Linked DNA regions of Lepisosteus oculatus. Each later gene encodes a partner of the first gene's protein in a complex. Links are inferred from orthologs where the notes say so. Each region holds a gene or a part of one and is shown in the gene's direction. Other genes may lie near its edges.

Evidence for each region. The genes of interacting proteins can lie anywhere in the genome.
Region 2: the proteins of kras (region 1) and rgl1 are in contact, whole or in part, in a crystal structure (PDB 7SCX), measured with the Homo sapiens proteins. The link is inferred for Lepisosteus oculatus from reciprocal best matches to the Homo sapiens genes KRAS and RGL1. Residues at the interface, in NP_001356715.1 of Homo sapiens: Ile24, Gln25, Glu31, Asp33, Pro34, Thr35, Ile36, Glu37, Asp38, Ser39, Tyr40, Arg41, Leu56, Tyr64, Met67; in NP_001284600.1 of Homo sapiens: Ile651, Arg653, Asn660, Gly661, Asn662, Met663, Tyr664, Lys665, Ser666, Ile667, Met668, Lys685, Asn687.

The regions. Positions count from the first base shown.
Region 1 is NC_090702.1:51,788,034-51,795,863, reverse strand, and holds the start of kras (GTPase KRas), read left to right. Parts: upstream 1-4,813; 5' UTR 4,814-4,903; intron 4,904-5,220; 5' UTR 5,221-5,495; intron 5,496-5,683; 5' UTR 5,684-5,811; intron 5,812-5,950; exon of another isoform or gene 5,951-6,370; intron 6,371-7,830. UniProt on the Homo sapiens protein: Ras proteins bind GDP/GTP and possess intrinsic GTPase activity. Plays an important role in the regulation of cell proliferation.
Region 2 is NC_090704.1:31,214,464-31,222,049, forward strand, and holds the start of rgl1 (ral guanine nucleotide dissociation stimulator-like 1), read left to right. Parts: upstream 1-4,570; 5' UTR 4,571-5,475; coding exon 5,476-5,652; intron 5,653-7,586. UniProt on the Homo sapiens protein: Probable guanine nucleotide exchange factor.

The DNA.
Region 1 (7,830 bases):
GTTTATTAAAAAAATAATATAATCTATTATCAAAGTCAATTAAGCTCTACCCCATTTGAATCAAACATAGGTAACATTAGTTAAATATGTTTATTTTGTTAATAATAATTTCTTACACTTATATAGCGCTTTTCTGGACACTCCACTCAAAGCGCTTTACAGGTAATGGGGACTCCCCTCCACCACCACCAGTGTGCAGCCCCATCTGGATGATGCGATGGCAGCCATAGTCCGCCAGATGCTCACCACACATCAGCTATCAGTGGGGAGGAGAGCAGAGTGATGAAGCCAGTTCAGAGATGGGGATTATTTGGGGGCCATGACTGATGATGATGATGACCAATAAGAAATGTGTCCAGGACACCAGGGTTAACACCCCTACTCTCTTCAAGAAACACCTTGGAATTTTAATGACCATAGAGAGTCAGGAACTTGGATTTACATCTTATCTGAAGGACAGTGACTTTTTACAATAAAGTGTCCCCATCACAATACAGGGCCATTAGGACCCACATAGACCCCAGGGTGAGCACCCCCTGCTGGCCCCACTAACATCTCTTCCAGCAGCAACCTTAGTTTTTCCCAGGAGGTCTCCATCCAAGTACTGACCAAGCTCACACCTGCTTAGCAGCAGTGGGCTATCAGTTATGGGTTGTAGGATGACATAGCTGTTGATTAGAACCTCGTTGAACCCCTTTAATTTGAAGGAGAAAAAAGTATTGGAACAACTGGCAGGCTGGTGTCTCTTGTTGGTCAGCTGTAAGCTGTTGGGCAATTAGGCTCATAACAGAACTGTGAACATCTTATTATACTACTGTATTTTGCTTGGCTGTCAATGTTTGGAATCAGCATTTTAAAGTCAATATTTGAAACAATAATGGGCACACCAAAATTCACAATGTACTGTAGAATCTACTGAAGAAACAGACCATGGGTTTAATTACCAATTAGCAAAGAAGAAGTCAGCCAAGACAAATATGTGCAATTTGTTAATGGAAAAATCATCAGAGCTCTCAAGAAAAACCCTTTAACAGCCTTTAGTGAAATTGCTGGCAGTCTGCAGAGTCCAGGGGAGAAGGTATCACAGTTACAGTTTGTAGGAAAGCAGAATTACAAAGCCTAAGCCACATGTAAATCACTCATCAGTATCAAGACCAAAAAAAGACAGATTATATTTTACTCAGAAGTAAAAAGATGAGGCATGAGTCTTGTAACAAAGTTGTGATGAACTTTTTAACATAATGATAGAAAGTTATAAAAAGTGGAAAAAAGTAACCGTAGATTCTCTGAAGATTATGGTCTCATCTGTGAAGCATGGTGGAGGTAGTGGGGATACCACCTGCAGAACTGGCTCACTCATTTTTTTGATTATGTACCTAATGACAGCAACAGAGCGAATTCTGAAGTTTACAGAAACATTTTGTCTGCTTAGGTAGAAGAAATGATTCCATACATATTGGGCAGCACTTCACGATGCAGAAAGACATCGAACCAGAACACAAGGCCAATACAACCTAAAAGTTTAGACCAATTATTGCCTCAAAGGAGCATTTTAATATCTCGGTACTAACTGCATGGTCACTTGAAATCACTGGGTTGAGCACAAAGTATGTTTCTGTTTTATTACGATCAAACACATTTATATTGTACTTATCATTCATATTAATCTCATTATCTCATACAAAAAATGCTTAAAATAATTTCTGGCATTGCTATTCCAGTAGGCCTGTAAGTACAATAAATGCTGTTTTCAACGTTGAAGCAGTATTCATTTATTTTAATGAACTGGGCTTCTCCTCTCATGCACCTAATTTCACTTCAAAGTGAAATGACTTAATATCACTTCAAATCATTGATAATAAGCAAAGGGAGTCAAGAATTCAAAACACCTCATTAAACATCTAGGTTTTTAAAGTTGTACGATGTTATATTGATATTGTACACAAGCTTTAAATGAATGAAAAGACATTTGGTTCTGAAACATCTTGTAGACAAATATAGACAGGCAATAGAAACAGAATATTAGGATATGTCATGAAAAACCTAGAAATGAAATCTGGTGATGTTATGTGACGTTTGTCCACTAGTAAATATTCTTTAAAACGTTGTCATAGAATTCTTAAACATGGTACAAAAAGATTTTGCTGCTCTGGAATTAGTCCATAACCCTTCCAGGGCTAAAATGAATGCCTTGCACTGATGGGCTGATGGGCTGAAGGAAAAAAGCCTTCAGATGAAGATAAGATCAATTTATTGGCCATATACAATTTCTTGCATTAGGAATTTGTCTTTTCACATACCCCAACTTGCTCTCCATGAGACACACAGACAGGGAGAGAACCTCGGGGTCACACTGCAGGGTCAGCCATTTATATAGCACCACTGGAGCAGTTGGGGTAAAGGGCCTTGCTCAGGGCCCCAACAGAGTAGGATTCCTCTGCCAGCTACAAGATACGAACCAGCACCCATCCAGCCACAGGCACGGATCCTTAACCACAGAGCCACCACGCCACACTGCACCACAACCCCACCACCTTTAATATCTTGATGAGAGCAGACCTGGTCAAAATCCTTAATGACACTGATAAAGTCAACTCAGGACTTCTTCACAAAACAGTGAAGAACAAACGAGTGGACATGTGAGAAAACTACATGGAAGTGCATCTAAAACTGAGAACAGGAGGGCTCTTTTTTACTCAGAAGCTGCTGTGCCCAGCCATGTTGTTGAAGCTGATACATTCTTTTTCAACAAAGAGCTCGAAGAGATCCTTAGATCAGTTAAGTAGCATCCAGGTGGGCTACATGGTCTGCATGGCTTCCAGTCGTTTACAACTTTTCTGATGTTCTTACCCTTTCTGGGATTTAAAATGTATTTATTATTATTTAAGTGTATTGTTGTTATTGAAACTTTGTGAACCACAACAACAGCAGCGGAAAGGTGTTTACAAAGCAATTCTAATGGCATTATTTGACCCCAAAAATGAAGCAAGTGCACAAATTAAAATTTGTAGGAAGAAGTGCATTTAGAGTTGAACATTTTCTCTTTATTGAATACTTTTTGAGGAACTTAGGATCACACAAAATGACCTGAACAGACTACACACTCACATTATTGAAAGTGACACTCTTTCACCCTGACACCTTGCAAGAATGGGTGAGTGTGGCTTATGTGTTTGAAGACGAGTGTAGATATTGCACACTCTGTACAATCCACATGTGGATACTGTGCTGTCAATCAATCAACATTTATGTATCAAATGCACAACAATAAAGTGTGCAGCAGTAGTTGCTGGCAATGAAATGTCTTTTCTGCACGCTCACTGGAGGGGAGGGGGTAAAAATCACAAAATTAACGTTATAAAATAAGGCTACATAATAATACATACTTGTGCAATAGAAATGGAATAAAATAAACTCAGACAGAGCTCAATATAAATAGAGCTGTGATGTGTCCAGGCTGTATGCAATACATTATGTCCAAGTAGTGCAGTGCAGTATGTCGAATGCAGGCTGACTTATGTATAGGAACCACGCCATATGCTTTCCAGCAGAATAAAGACACTGCAGATCAGCATTTTGATTCCAATATGAAGTGATGTGTTTTCTATTAAACGTATAGCATGGCTATGAAGGCATTTTGTCCCTTTGCGTGTTTCAGAAATGGAATTTGCACACTCCTTGAGGAAAAGCATGGGCAAGGGTGAATGTCATCCACTGGAAAGCAGCAAAAAAAAAGTCAAATAATTTTGCCACAAGGGGGGATAATTAGACAGTGCAGCTTAGCACATAACTGCATTCCAATGAAGAATAGAGATGAAAAGACAGAAACCAGACCATATCAGAAAGAGTGCCTGTGAGCTCAGTGGACTTATCTCTTGCAGAGGTAGGAACTGAATAGCACCCCGCAAATTCCAAGACTTAAAGTTACTCCACAATCACTAATCTGCGATGTTGAGAGCCCAGATAGAAAATGTAAAGGAAAAGGCAAGGTTTTGATTCAGTTTTCTCTAAATTCACTTCTAACCAGATATTTCACAGGTTCAACAACTTGACTATTTTGAAAAGCTCAGTCACTGCTTTACAACATGCAGGGTCAAATTGCATGCAATAGGTATTAGGGATTTCTATCTAACACAGGTGACATGGTGATGTGGTGGTCAGCAGTATTGTGTCACTAGTCCTGGTTTCAATTAGGATCTGAGGGACCTTCTGTGTGGTGTTTGCATGTTCTCCCTACAGTTTTTCCACATGGGTTTTCTTCAGTGACCTGCCCAGGGTCTAGACTCACCTGGCTCACTGCATATCGGTAAGGACTGCCATTGAACAGGGTATTTTCTCTCACTGTACCTTCTAATAGAGAGAAATCATATTTTACCCTTTAAAGAATTCTTGCGGTGCTATGGTAGCAAAAAATTCCCAGTTCCACCTTGCAATCGAAAAATAATACAATATACTAAATTAGCGATTAAAAAATGCAGGTGTTTGTGTATCGAAATTCATGCAAAGGAAAGATTAATGGTTAAGAGGTTAGAAAAAGAGTATCTCGGTTGATCATCATGTGCTATTTAACGCCTCCTGCCATTATTCGTCCAGGGCAGGGTTAATATCTCACAGACAGGTTCACCGCAGTTCACACACTGTAAAGATTTGCAATAATACATTGCTACGGTGTGTACTGACGTCATCCGGGCATTGCGTAACTGACAGAGAAACGCCAAATCAGACACCTTCTCGGCGGTGACGTAGTTAAAGCGCATAAGCAGTGTATTTATAGAGCCTATTTAAGCTGTGCTGCTGCTGCTGGTCTGTTCAGTGTTTACACAGATTTGGCAGAGGTTAGAGGTGGCTGGGAATTGCTTGTGCTCTAGCCTAGTAAAATCGTTACATACAGTTGTGCGTTTTGGTAAGTGGGGTAGAAAATCGCGTCTTTTCACTTTCTGAAACGTACCTTGCCCTGCTTTTGTCATTTAAAGTGTTGTTTCAAGCCACGTTGTTTTCCCATGAGGTATGGTTTAGCCGTACTCCGTACAAATGAGGGGGGAGCTCCCTTGAACAAGTCAGCCGTTTCACAAGAGTAAAAGCATGTATTATTCTTGACATCCTATTATTATCATAATAATAAACGCACAAATTCAGAGACGTGCGTTTAAGCCTCTTGTTTTCTCGATAAGCGATGTTTTAAGTCGGGACTCGTTGCAGATACTGGATTTCTATTTTTAGGTCTCGTTTCACAAATTGTAATCGCCTGTAACGCCCTCTGCCAGTCCTTGGGAGTAGTGAAGCGGTCTGTGTGAACTGGGACTGGTTTAACTGCACCGCCGGGAGGGCTGGGGCTAATGCGGGACTCCTCGTCTTGTGGTGTCTTAGCTCCCCGTCCAGTCTGAAAGAATAATGGTGAAATAATTCCGAAAACGCCGCGAAGGAAGGAAACCCGAGGAGAGAAACCGAGCGAGCAAGCCGGACTCCTTCCTGGCCTCTCCCCATTTGCTTTCTGGGTAAGTGAGTGGTGTTTGAAATGAGCTCTCGGATGTGAAGTATCCGCCCAGTTTTGTCTGAGGGCAGGCAGGCGTCAGGCCGAACAAGGAACCAAAAAGAAAAGTTTAATTGATTTTTGTGTGCCGTCCGCAGTTTCTATCGTTTGAGGGGGGTTTTTGGTTTTTTTTTTACATTCGGCGCGATGAAGACCCGAGTCACGTTTTTAAAAAAAGACTGAAGCCAAAGATGCCTGTATCGTTACAGAAGGAAGGGCTGTAGCAACTAAACGAGATACTTCTTTCTGACACTTCGGACGCGGAACTCCTGAGGCAAAAGGTAAAAAAAAAAAAAGAAAAGATCAAATATGTGGCTAATGAACCCTGAATTGGACCAGCTGACGTTGAACGGCTGTTTCCTTTAAAAAAAAAAGTGCACGTTTCTTTTTTTTTTTTTTTTGGTGGTGGTGGGGGGGGCAACATGGGTATCGCACACGTACCCGAGGACAATCGAGCTGGAAGTGGCAAAGGGTGAAAGAAACACCACAACGCCCATCTCGCCGGCCGTGGCCCTGCAATGCAGATGGAGCTCGGCGCGGCGCAGCCCCTCTCCCGAGGCTCCTTCGGCCAAACGCGATTTGTGTGTGTGTGTGTTAGTTTTGTTTTTCTTTTTAAACCCGCGGTGTTAACGTATTCCACACCCACGGGCCTGTTGTGCGCCCACCCCGACGCGCGTTAGGAACCGCCAGGCGAGCAGCGCTGCGCGGTGTTCACGCCAAGGGGAGGACGGCGAAACTGGCCTTAGATCCGTGTGGACCTTGCCCCGTTTTATTTCATTGACGGCGACCAGAGGCCATTAATTTCACAGGAGGACGGGCTGGCGCCGTGCGTGTTCAGAGGTGGGGAGCGGATTCAGCTGCTTTGGGGGAGAAATTTGCAGACCCAACACAACTGCTACAGTTTATATCACTTTAGGGTCGGGTCACTTTGCTATGTCTGTGTTAATAGCTGATGAACAGGCGTGTGAAACGTAAGGTGAATACACTGCTTTAAGTGTTGGTGGTGGTGTTTTTTTTTTTAGAAATTCCTAAATATTTAGAATGATTTTTAAACTAGGCTAACCCAGTAATTTGTTTTTTACTTTGCTGTGATAGTGGAGCAGACGGTTAGCTGCCTACTCTGGAGTGTAAATTAATGTGTTAATATTAAGATGCATAACGTTTTTGTTTTCAAAATACGCAGTAAATGTATACGGATATGTGAACAGTTACGGAGTTTGGGGGCTGATTCCAGTTTCAGGGCTGGAATCTCAATTTTGTTGAGACTGGTAGTCTGCACATGTTAACTTGAAGCACTAACACTGGTTAAGGATATTGTACGTTATATAAAAAAACCCGTTAGATCTATTATTGCATGTTTCTTTTAATTAACATTTATCCGTTGACTCAAACGCGATGAACTACCCAGTTGGTAGAAAATACTTTAAAATTCCCCCGTTAGTGACACAAGGCAGATTTTGGCAGAAGACGGACTTTCTGTTCCTTAACTGGGTGTCGGAAAGACGTTTGGTACTTAACATTTCTCGAGCTTTTAACAGCTTGTTCAAATTCTGCATCATGAAAATGTTGCCTTTGTAGATCACAAGTGGGTGAAACTATGTCTTCGCAATAGAGTAACAGTTGTAACTGCACTGAGTAGGGGGAATGGAATGAACTGGGGAGGTTGATATGATATCTGATCCTCCACATCTTTTGTGTGTTCTTAATTTGTTGTGATAATATGGTTCTTAAATAGCTTTGCATATTTTAGCTTGTTTTGTACTAAATAATCCTGTTCATCTTAAACTTTTGTTTACATCCAAGCTGTTATGGGTAAGGCGAACGAAGACTCGTAAAGTTTTCCATAGAAACCCTTAAAACTGAGTGCTTTATTTTAACACAGCAATGGATAATCACATGGGTGCTGCTAAGCATTGTACAGTTACACAATTTGTGTTTAGCTGCCTCGTCCCATGCACCCCTTGATGCAGTATCTTCAAAAAGAATCATTTTTTTAATTAGAATTGTGTCCCAAGTTGCCTGCAGACTCTTGCATAATTCCTTTGTGTTTACTGTCGTGATTGTGTTTAGAGAGCACATCACTTTACCATTGCCCATCTGGGCTTTTGTGATTTTGATTAATCTTCATTCTGCATTGTTGTTCTGAAAGGAAGATGGCCACAGATATATAGCAAGCTGCACTGCAAAACCCTTCCCTTTGGTGTTTGATCTAGGACAAGGAAATGGAATAGGATTTGTTCGCAGTTGGAAAAATATGCAAATTGAAAAAGTCTTGAACGCTAATGTTAATGGTTGTGTAA
Region 2 (7,586 bases), on another chromosome or scaffold:
CTCTGCGTGTGCGTGTTTCTGGTCTGCGCTGCTGGCGGAGTGCAGCCAGCTGTGTAAACCGGCCCAGACCGCGGGGCAGGATCGCTGTGTCAGCAGGCTGTGGCTGCGGGGAGAGACGAAAACACGCCGGGAGAGAGGAGAGAAAAAACAACAAGGAGAAACGGCAAAGAGAGCCGAGGGAGGGGGATGAAAGGAACAGAATACTTGAAACCTTGTTGTTGAATCCGAGGGAGGGGAGAAGGGATGTGGGAGAGAACAAGGTTTACCGTAAGGCAAGGAGAGGGAGGACACAGTCGGAGACGAAGGGGAAGAAGGAGAGGGTGAAAAATGACTCGGCATCAACAGTGAAAGAGGCCTCGGGATACAAGCGTATGGTGAAACTGTATTAAAAACCGAGACCAGGAAGCCCCTCTTAATACAAAGGGAGGCGGGGGTATGGAACAAGCTGCCCAGCTATGTCTTTGAAGCAGATACCCTGGTTTCTTTCACGAAACAGCTGGATAAGATCCTTGGATCAATTAGCTGCTGGGCTTCAGACAGGCTAGATTGGCCAAAGTTCCCCCCTAAATTATGTTCTTAGGAAGTTAAGAGAGCTGGGCAGAAAGATGCAAAAAAGATTAAAATCTAACTACTCAGTCACTCCTGAATATTGCTTTTAGCCTTGGAATGAGCTGGGCAGTTGTGCAGCTCCAGTGTCTCAGTCACTCGCTGTGCCTCCTGTCCTGTTCCTGTGTGAGAGCATCTCCAGGGTTCTCCTATGCCTCAGTTCATGTTGTTCGCTGGGCTTAAATACAACACTGCCTCGCTAGATATTGCAGAAATACAACCGCTTTTCTGTCAGCTCTGCTCAAAGAGGACGGACTGAATCTGCTGTCGCACAGTGCCCATCGACAAAGATCTGTGCTCAGAAGCCTACGCAACACCATAAGTCTTCCCCCTTCACTTCCTGTTGCTTAGCTTGACAGCCCAGTTAGTAATGTGTGAGGATGGGTTTGATGTATGGGCCTACTCATTTGTGAGGGTTTTGTTTCTAACAGTTTATTGGACTTAATAAAGACTTTTATAGCAAAGTAGCTCTTAACAAGTAAGCGGAAAGACTGCACTCTGCATTCCTCTATAGACTGCATGAAGAAATCAAGGGCTACCTGGGGCACTAACTAATCCTGGAATAGTGTGGGTGAGGTTGCATATGGTGATGGTCAGTGATTAACTTAACTGGCTGGGCAATTAGTAAGGACTGCGTGCTGCTGGGCAGTCCAGTATTTCCGATTGGAGTGAGAGGTCTAACATCTGTATCTCTGATGTGGCTGTTCATTGACTTTAGCACAGGAAGTCCAGTTCTGGGACAGTGCATTTTGTACCATTTATACAAAATGATTGTTAAAGCTTTGATAAATGCAGTTAGGCCATTTATGTTTTTAAAATGTTCAACAGGTAAGTAAAGATAATTTATGCACATCTGAGGCGGTAAGATCAATAAAGAAAATATATCGATGTCTTGCTAATACTTTAATTGAGGGATTGCAAATGAATTACAAGTGCACAGTAACCAACCTTTGTGCACTGCATCATAGTTTTTCCTTTACTACGACCTTGAAATTCTATGTTAAAGCACATACCTGATCATTAATCAAACCAGTTCAAAAACGTTGTCCATATAGTTCTCTGCTTTGGTTCCCATCCTCAGTTACATCAGACGCTGTTGGTATTAATTTTATTCTTGTAAGACATTGCAAGTAGTAGATAAGGTGATGTATAACACCCCCTTTGTTAGGACAACTTCTAAATCTCTTTGGCTTTGCATATTTGATTTCTTATTAAAACACTTTGTGCAATTAGGTCATTAGGATTGGAGGTGTAATACAAATCAGCCTCTGAACTTTGAGGACAGGAGTTGCTGTAGTTATCTGAACTCTTAGAAAGTCGTGTCTTGTGGTAGCCCCCAAAATGAAATGAAATCGAGGCGCAGCCCTGTTCTCATGATTCCTCAATCTGTGAGTCTGTGTCTCTCTGGACCAGTCTCCTCACACTGTCCCCTGCAGGGCTGAAGGAGGCTGAGTCAACTGCGATCTCGCAGCTAGACCTGAGCTCCTTTCACCTGGCTGGGCCCGGCCTCAGAGGCCATGGCCAGTGGTCGTGTGTGTGTTTGCGTGTTTGAGAGTGTACGTACTGTATTCTGGCTGGATGGCCGGCCTGTCGTAGTGTTATCGAAGCCCAAGTGCATTGCAATGAAGGCGAGTGCGTGGTTGATTTTGACTCTGTGGTAGGGTGAAGTGTAAGTTGTTTGTGCGTTGTGTGTCGGAGTGCCGCCTGGTTCCAGCTGAGCACCCCTGAACAGAGCCGTTTCACACAGGCCTGCCCTTACAGCTGCATGTTCCCCCGCCCGCTGCTCGCCCGCCTCGCCCCCCTGTGGAGACGCAGAAACCTTAAACCGGGACAGCTCCCCAAAATCAGCTGCCTTTTAAACCCACAAGCCTAGATTCCTGTACCTGGGTTCACAGAGAGCCACAGAATGACAGACGCCCATGTCTCACACACTAGTGTTCAGAAGCAACCATGTGCAGAGAGGAGAGGGAACAGATCTGTTCTTTATTAAAGTATAATACAGATATCATGAAGAAGTTTTTGATGGAAGGGGCAGCCATTTCCTCACACTGAAAATACTGCAAAGCTACGCCAGAGAATAGTTGAACCACTCTCCCGGTTTTGGGAAAACTGGAGTTGCAAGTCTTTCGGGAGTGTAGGAATGATATAGGAATAAAAAGAAACCATGAGAGACTCAGAGAAAACGGACTAAAGCCACCATAAGAGCATTGATCAGGCAACGGACACACCTGTACAAAGGTCCTACTAAAAGGAAGCCATAATGTTGAGAGATCTGTATCTGTTGTGGGTCATAAATGAAGATGGTTGATGGGAAAGATGTCAGGGATTTTGCTGAGGAAGAATGACCTCTGTTATTCTCCATGCATGTGATACTTGAATGGTACTGTACACACACGGACAGATATCCGGATGTGGAATTAGCATTAACCTGCAGTACCAGTGAAGCAGGGCCAAAGTGCAGCCCGTTTCCCCTTAGCTGTTGTTTAACAAGGAGCCCATAAATCTGTAACTGCCCTCGCAGAACATCGCTGACTCGGAGAGCTGTACAGTTGACGGTCACACAGCAAACCGCGTAGCGTCTGTGTAAATGAAGAGGCTCCAGCCAGGCAGTTAGGAGGTTTTCTGATTTGCTCTCTAATGTAGACGTGTCCTCTTCATTATTTCTCTGAACTTGCTTTCTGCTGAACTTCACCGCCCACTCAGTATGTGAGACATTGCTAAGATGCACCGAGTCAGTGAAATGTTTTTTTCTCATTTTGCAGAAGGTGCTCTCTGTATTAAAAACCTGAATGTAGAGAACCTGCTCCTTGTTGTGCCTGGAGCTTGAGTGTTCTATTTTGTTGCATTTAAAGAAGTGTTTTTAACTTAACTGGCAGTGCAATAGGGCAGAATCAAAACTAGCCGCATCTTTGTAACAGTTTCTAATAGTATTGCTGTTTCTCTAGATGACTAGAGATGTCTTAGTCTTAAGTAATACTTCCACAATAGTTTGGTAAACGCCTAGCTGGCTGCCCTGATGTTTTACGTTGTAGCATTTCAGCTCTAGAGTCCTGGGTTCAATTTTGGCTTTGTGCACTGTCTGTGTGGAGTCTGCATGTTCTTCCGGAGGTCTGTGTGGGTTTTCTGGCTACACAGGTGGCAGAAAGGTGCAGTGTGTTCTAAACAGGAAGCAGAACTTCAGACCTGCAGAGGAAGCTTATGAGAAAGAGTTGGGTGTAAATGTTGACGCATTATTTACATCTTCTATCCACTGTAGGGAAGCAATGAAAAAGGTCATGAAAATGTTCTGATATATAGTTAATGGGTGAATAAAAACCTAGCACGATGTTTATCGTTGTTTAATTAGGGTCGTGTCCAAAATAGGAAGGAAATAATATATTGTTATTCAGTTCTTTAATTGTATGGTAGATGAATTAGTTAATTAAGCTAGTAAAGGTTGACAAATCTATTAGCTGATTTATTGAATTTAATTTTTTTCTGTTGGGTTTTTAGGAAGATATTGAGTTTACACTTAAAACTGAAGACAAGTTGCACAATCGATTAGTCAGCACTGCAGGAAAAGGCAGGAGAATAAAGGAATTCTCCACAAACCCCCTTCTGGGCTTCATGTGCAAGTCCTAATCAACTGCAAACCAGTTCTTATCTCAAACAGACACTTTAGCTTGATTGCACAATTGGACCAGCGTGCCTTCTAATAATGCACAGCACAGGCAGCGCTCCTTTATTCCCTGGCAGCTGATCATTGCCAGCTCTTCTTGGGGCTCAATGGGTCAAGAAGAGTTTTGAGCGGTTGGTCTGCAGACCCGCTCCCAGCCAGAGGAGCCCACAGGACGATCCTGTCCTCCCCGGAGCGCTCAGCCTCCGCGCTCACAGCCAGCCTGCTGGGACGCTGGGAGGGGCGGGTCTGCCTCTCTCTCCACCCCCCTGCACTGGCAGCTCTGAGAGAGAGAGAGACAACAGTGTTTATCCCAGGTCTGTGGCAGAGGCAGGACTGCGAGAGGGCGCTCAGCAGGCTCCGCTCGGGAACGCACACCCACTCAGAGGGAGAGCTGGGGGGGGGTGGCAGACGGAGAGGAATAATTACGGGACAGCCCTCCAGAGACTTCACTGCTCAGCCTGGAGGGAGAAGGGAACCCCTCAGCAGCACGGCCGTAGGCAACGCTGAAACCAGAGCAGACTGCGAGAGGAGAGACTGGGAGAGACCACTGGGGGGGGGGGGGGAAACTGGGACTGAGGTCCTGAAGACAGCCAGCAGAGCTCCTCGGGTTGGAAAGAGCCAGTGAGCATTAGGGGTCCCAGCTAGACTAGCCAGGGTCCGCATCCGGATCAGCCACCAGCAACTGGAGGCAGGCGGACACTGCCTCTGGGAACACCGGCTGGGCAGACTGGGTACAGCCCACTGCAGACCAGCACGCCACAGGGGGGCAGAGATTGGCCGGATTGGGACTCCTGACCCGCACAGAGTGGAGTACAGGTCCAGAGGATCACCGAGGGGACAGAGTGCCGCCTAGCTCGTCGCACCTGCAGGAGTTGGAATCTGCACTCGGAGCTCCGACTGGGATCGGCACGGAGCCGGAGACTGGCCCCCAGTACTGGCACGGCTAGCTCCGAGACGCTCTCGTCTTCTTTCCTCCTGACGAACCGGCTCCGTAGGAGTGTGGAGGAGCAGTTGCATCCGGAGAGGAGAGGGGATATCTCACGGGGATCATGTGCCCAAAGAAAAGCTCGGCGCAGAGCGAAGAGGTTCCATTTTGAAGGCAGAAGATTACTGATTTTTTGCCTGCCTGCCGCCGACGACATCCCAGTCTGGAACATGCCCGGTCTGCCGGGAGAGGGGAGAGTGCAGAGTCAGTGAGACTCCCTGCCTGGATGCCTGCCTCCCCCCGGCGCCCGATGATCTCTCACTACCCCCTGGCCTCGCTGCTGTCCTGGCCCCCTGGCACCCCTGAGGCCCCCAGTCTGGGGCTGGAGCTGCTGGGGGAGGATGGCGGGGTGTCTCTGCAGAGGTACCAGCCCCGCTCCCCAGACAGCACCCCGCGACACTGGGTCAGTGAGTCCCGCCCGTCGCAGGGCAAGGAATTCTGCCCACTTTGCTTTCTTTCTCCCGTGCCGTTGGCTCGCGATCTAGCTGCCTCTGAATGTGCTGGTCTGTCTGCCTCTGGCTTGATTGGCGTGACTGCTTGGTCTTGACCGTGAATCGGAGGGGCTGTCCTGGTGTTCCCAGGTGCTGAAAGGCACTGTTCTGTTGTAAAGATTTCTCCATCACTGATCAGCAGACAGTCTGCACCAGCCTTGAGCTTTTCAGTTCTCTGCATTGTGGGGTGTTTAGGACCCTGTAGTTGAGCTGAGTCGCTGACAACCTGCAAGCGTACGACACCGATACAGAGAGGGCAAGAATGAGTTCTGTTCATTTGGTACACAGTTGGCGACAACATTGTCCAAATGTAGTGATGAAATGTTTGAAGTAACTGTTTAGATTAGAGTCTATCTCATTCACTATCATGCCATTTGATTGTCAATTTGCTCTTGTTTCGTTCTGCACACAAATTAAGCCACTGCACTGGGAGATTAAAGGGACAATAATATCTAATCACTATTTAATTTCAGTATTGTGCAAATTTGAGGATTGAGTGTTTGAAGCTACAGATCACATAGACTAAGATATGAGGTATTTGAACCACATATATTAACCCATAACCGGATGGCTTTCAAAGAGGGGAAGAGAGATCTCGGCAGCTCGTCTGGGCCTCGATCAGCCGCCTCCTGTGTTGTTCAGCCTGTGGCAGAGCTTGGAGTTAGTGGTCAGCTGGCCACACAGGGTTAATCTTGCTGGCTGGTGGCTGCAGTCTGTTTGGACAAGCTGTGGCTGTGGTGAGAGCATGCCAGGAAGGAAGGCGTTCAGTGGGAATCGAGTGCACAGTTCCTCCCCTGAACTGTGGCTGTCAGCACTTCTGGGCAGAGAAGCCTCACTGTGTCACGAGGAAGGCTGACCCCACATTCCCCAGCTCCGAAAACTGCCTGTAACTGCAGATCAGGTTGTTATGACTGTACTGTAGCTGTATTACATGGTTTCGAGTACTGTTTTGCAGCACGTTCAGTAGCTCGGAGACCCGGTGCCGTTCAGAAGGGTGTTCAGTAGCTCGAAGCCCCGGTGTCGTTCAGAAGGGTGTTCAGTAGCTCAGCGCCCCGGTGTCGTTCAGAAGGGTGTTCAGTAGCTCAGAGCCCTGGTGTCGTTCAGAAGGGTGTTCAGTAGCTCAGAGCCCAGGTGCTGTTCTGCGGGGTGTTCAGTAGCTCGAACCCCCGGTGCTGTTCAGAAGGGTGTTCAGTAGCTTGGAGCCTAGTGCCGTTCAGAAGAGTGTTCAGTCGTTTAGTGCCAGAGAACCAGACTTTTTATTGTTCAGTAGATCAGTTCCGATTGTGTTGAGTGTCGCTGGGGTTAAGAAGCCTGGGCCTCGGGGACTGCGTGAGGGCTGCTGTGTCGAAGGTGGAGTCTGAGCTGGGTGGCGGTGTGTCGTGTGCGTCTGTGTGCACACGCTGACTGCTGGCTGTCCCTGACACACAGGCCTGCTTTCCGGCTATTGTACCAGCCGGGGATCAGCCAGGACATTTTTCATTCCCTACTGACTGTATGCCCCTCCAACAGGGAGTTGGGGATTACAGGGATGGAGTGCTCCATTGTTCAGGCGCTGTGCACTCCGCACAGCGTGTGAGAGATCTCGGCCAGCTGCTGTCCTGCTGTCCTGCTAGGCAGGCCATGAGCACGCTAACATTTCTCTAGATCTCCTCAATGTTCACTGAATTCAGCTTGATGGCAATAATACTTTGATTTGCCAGGGTGTCTTTGGCAACAGCCTCATGAAATATATAGGAAACTATGAGATAAGTTAAACCATTTTGTTTCAGTTGGACAGCCCTGTGCATTCTCTTGTAAAAAAGAATCGCATGTGACAAAGGTGTGAGGTACTTGTTTTGCAGACTGG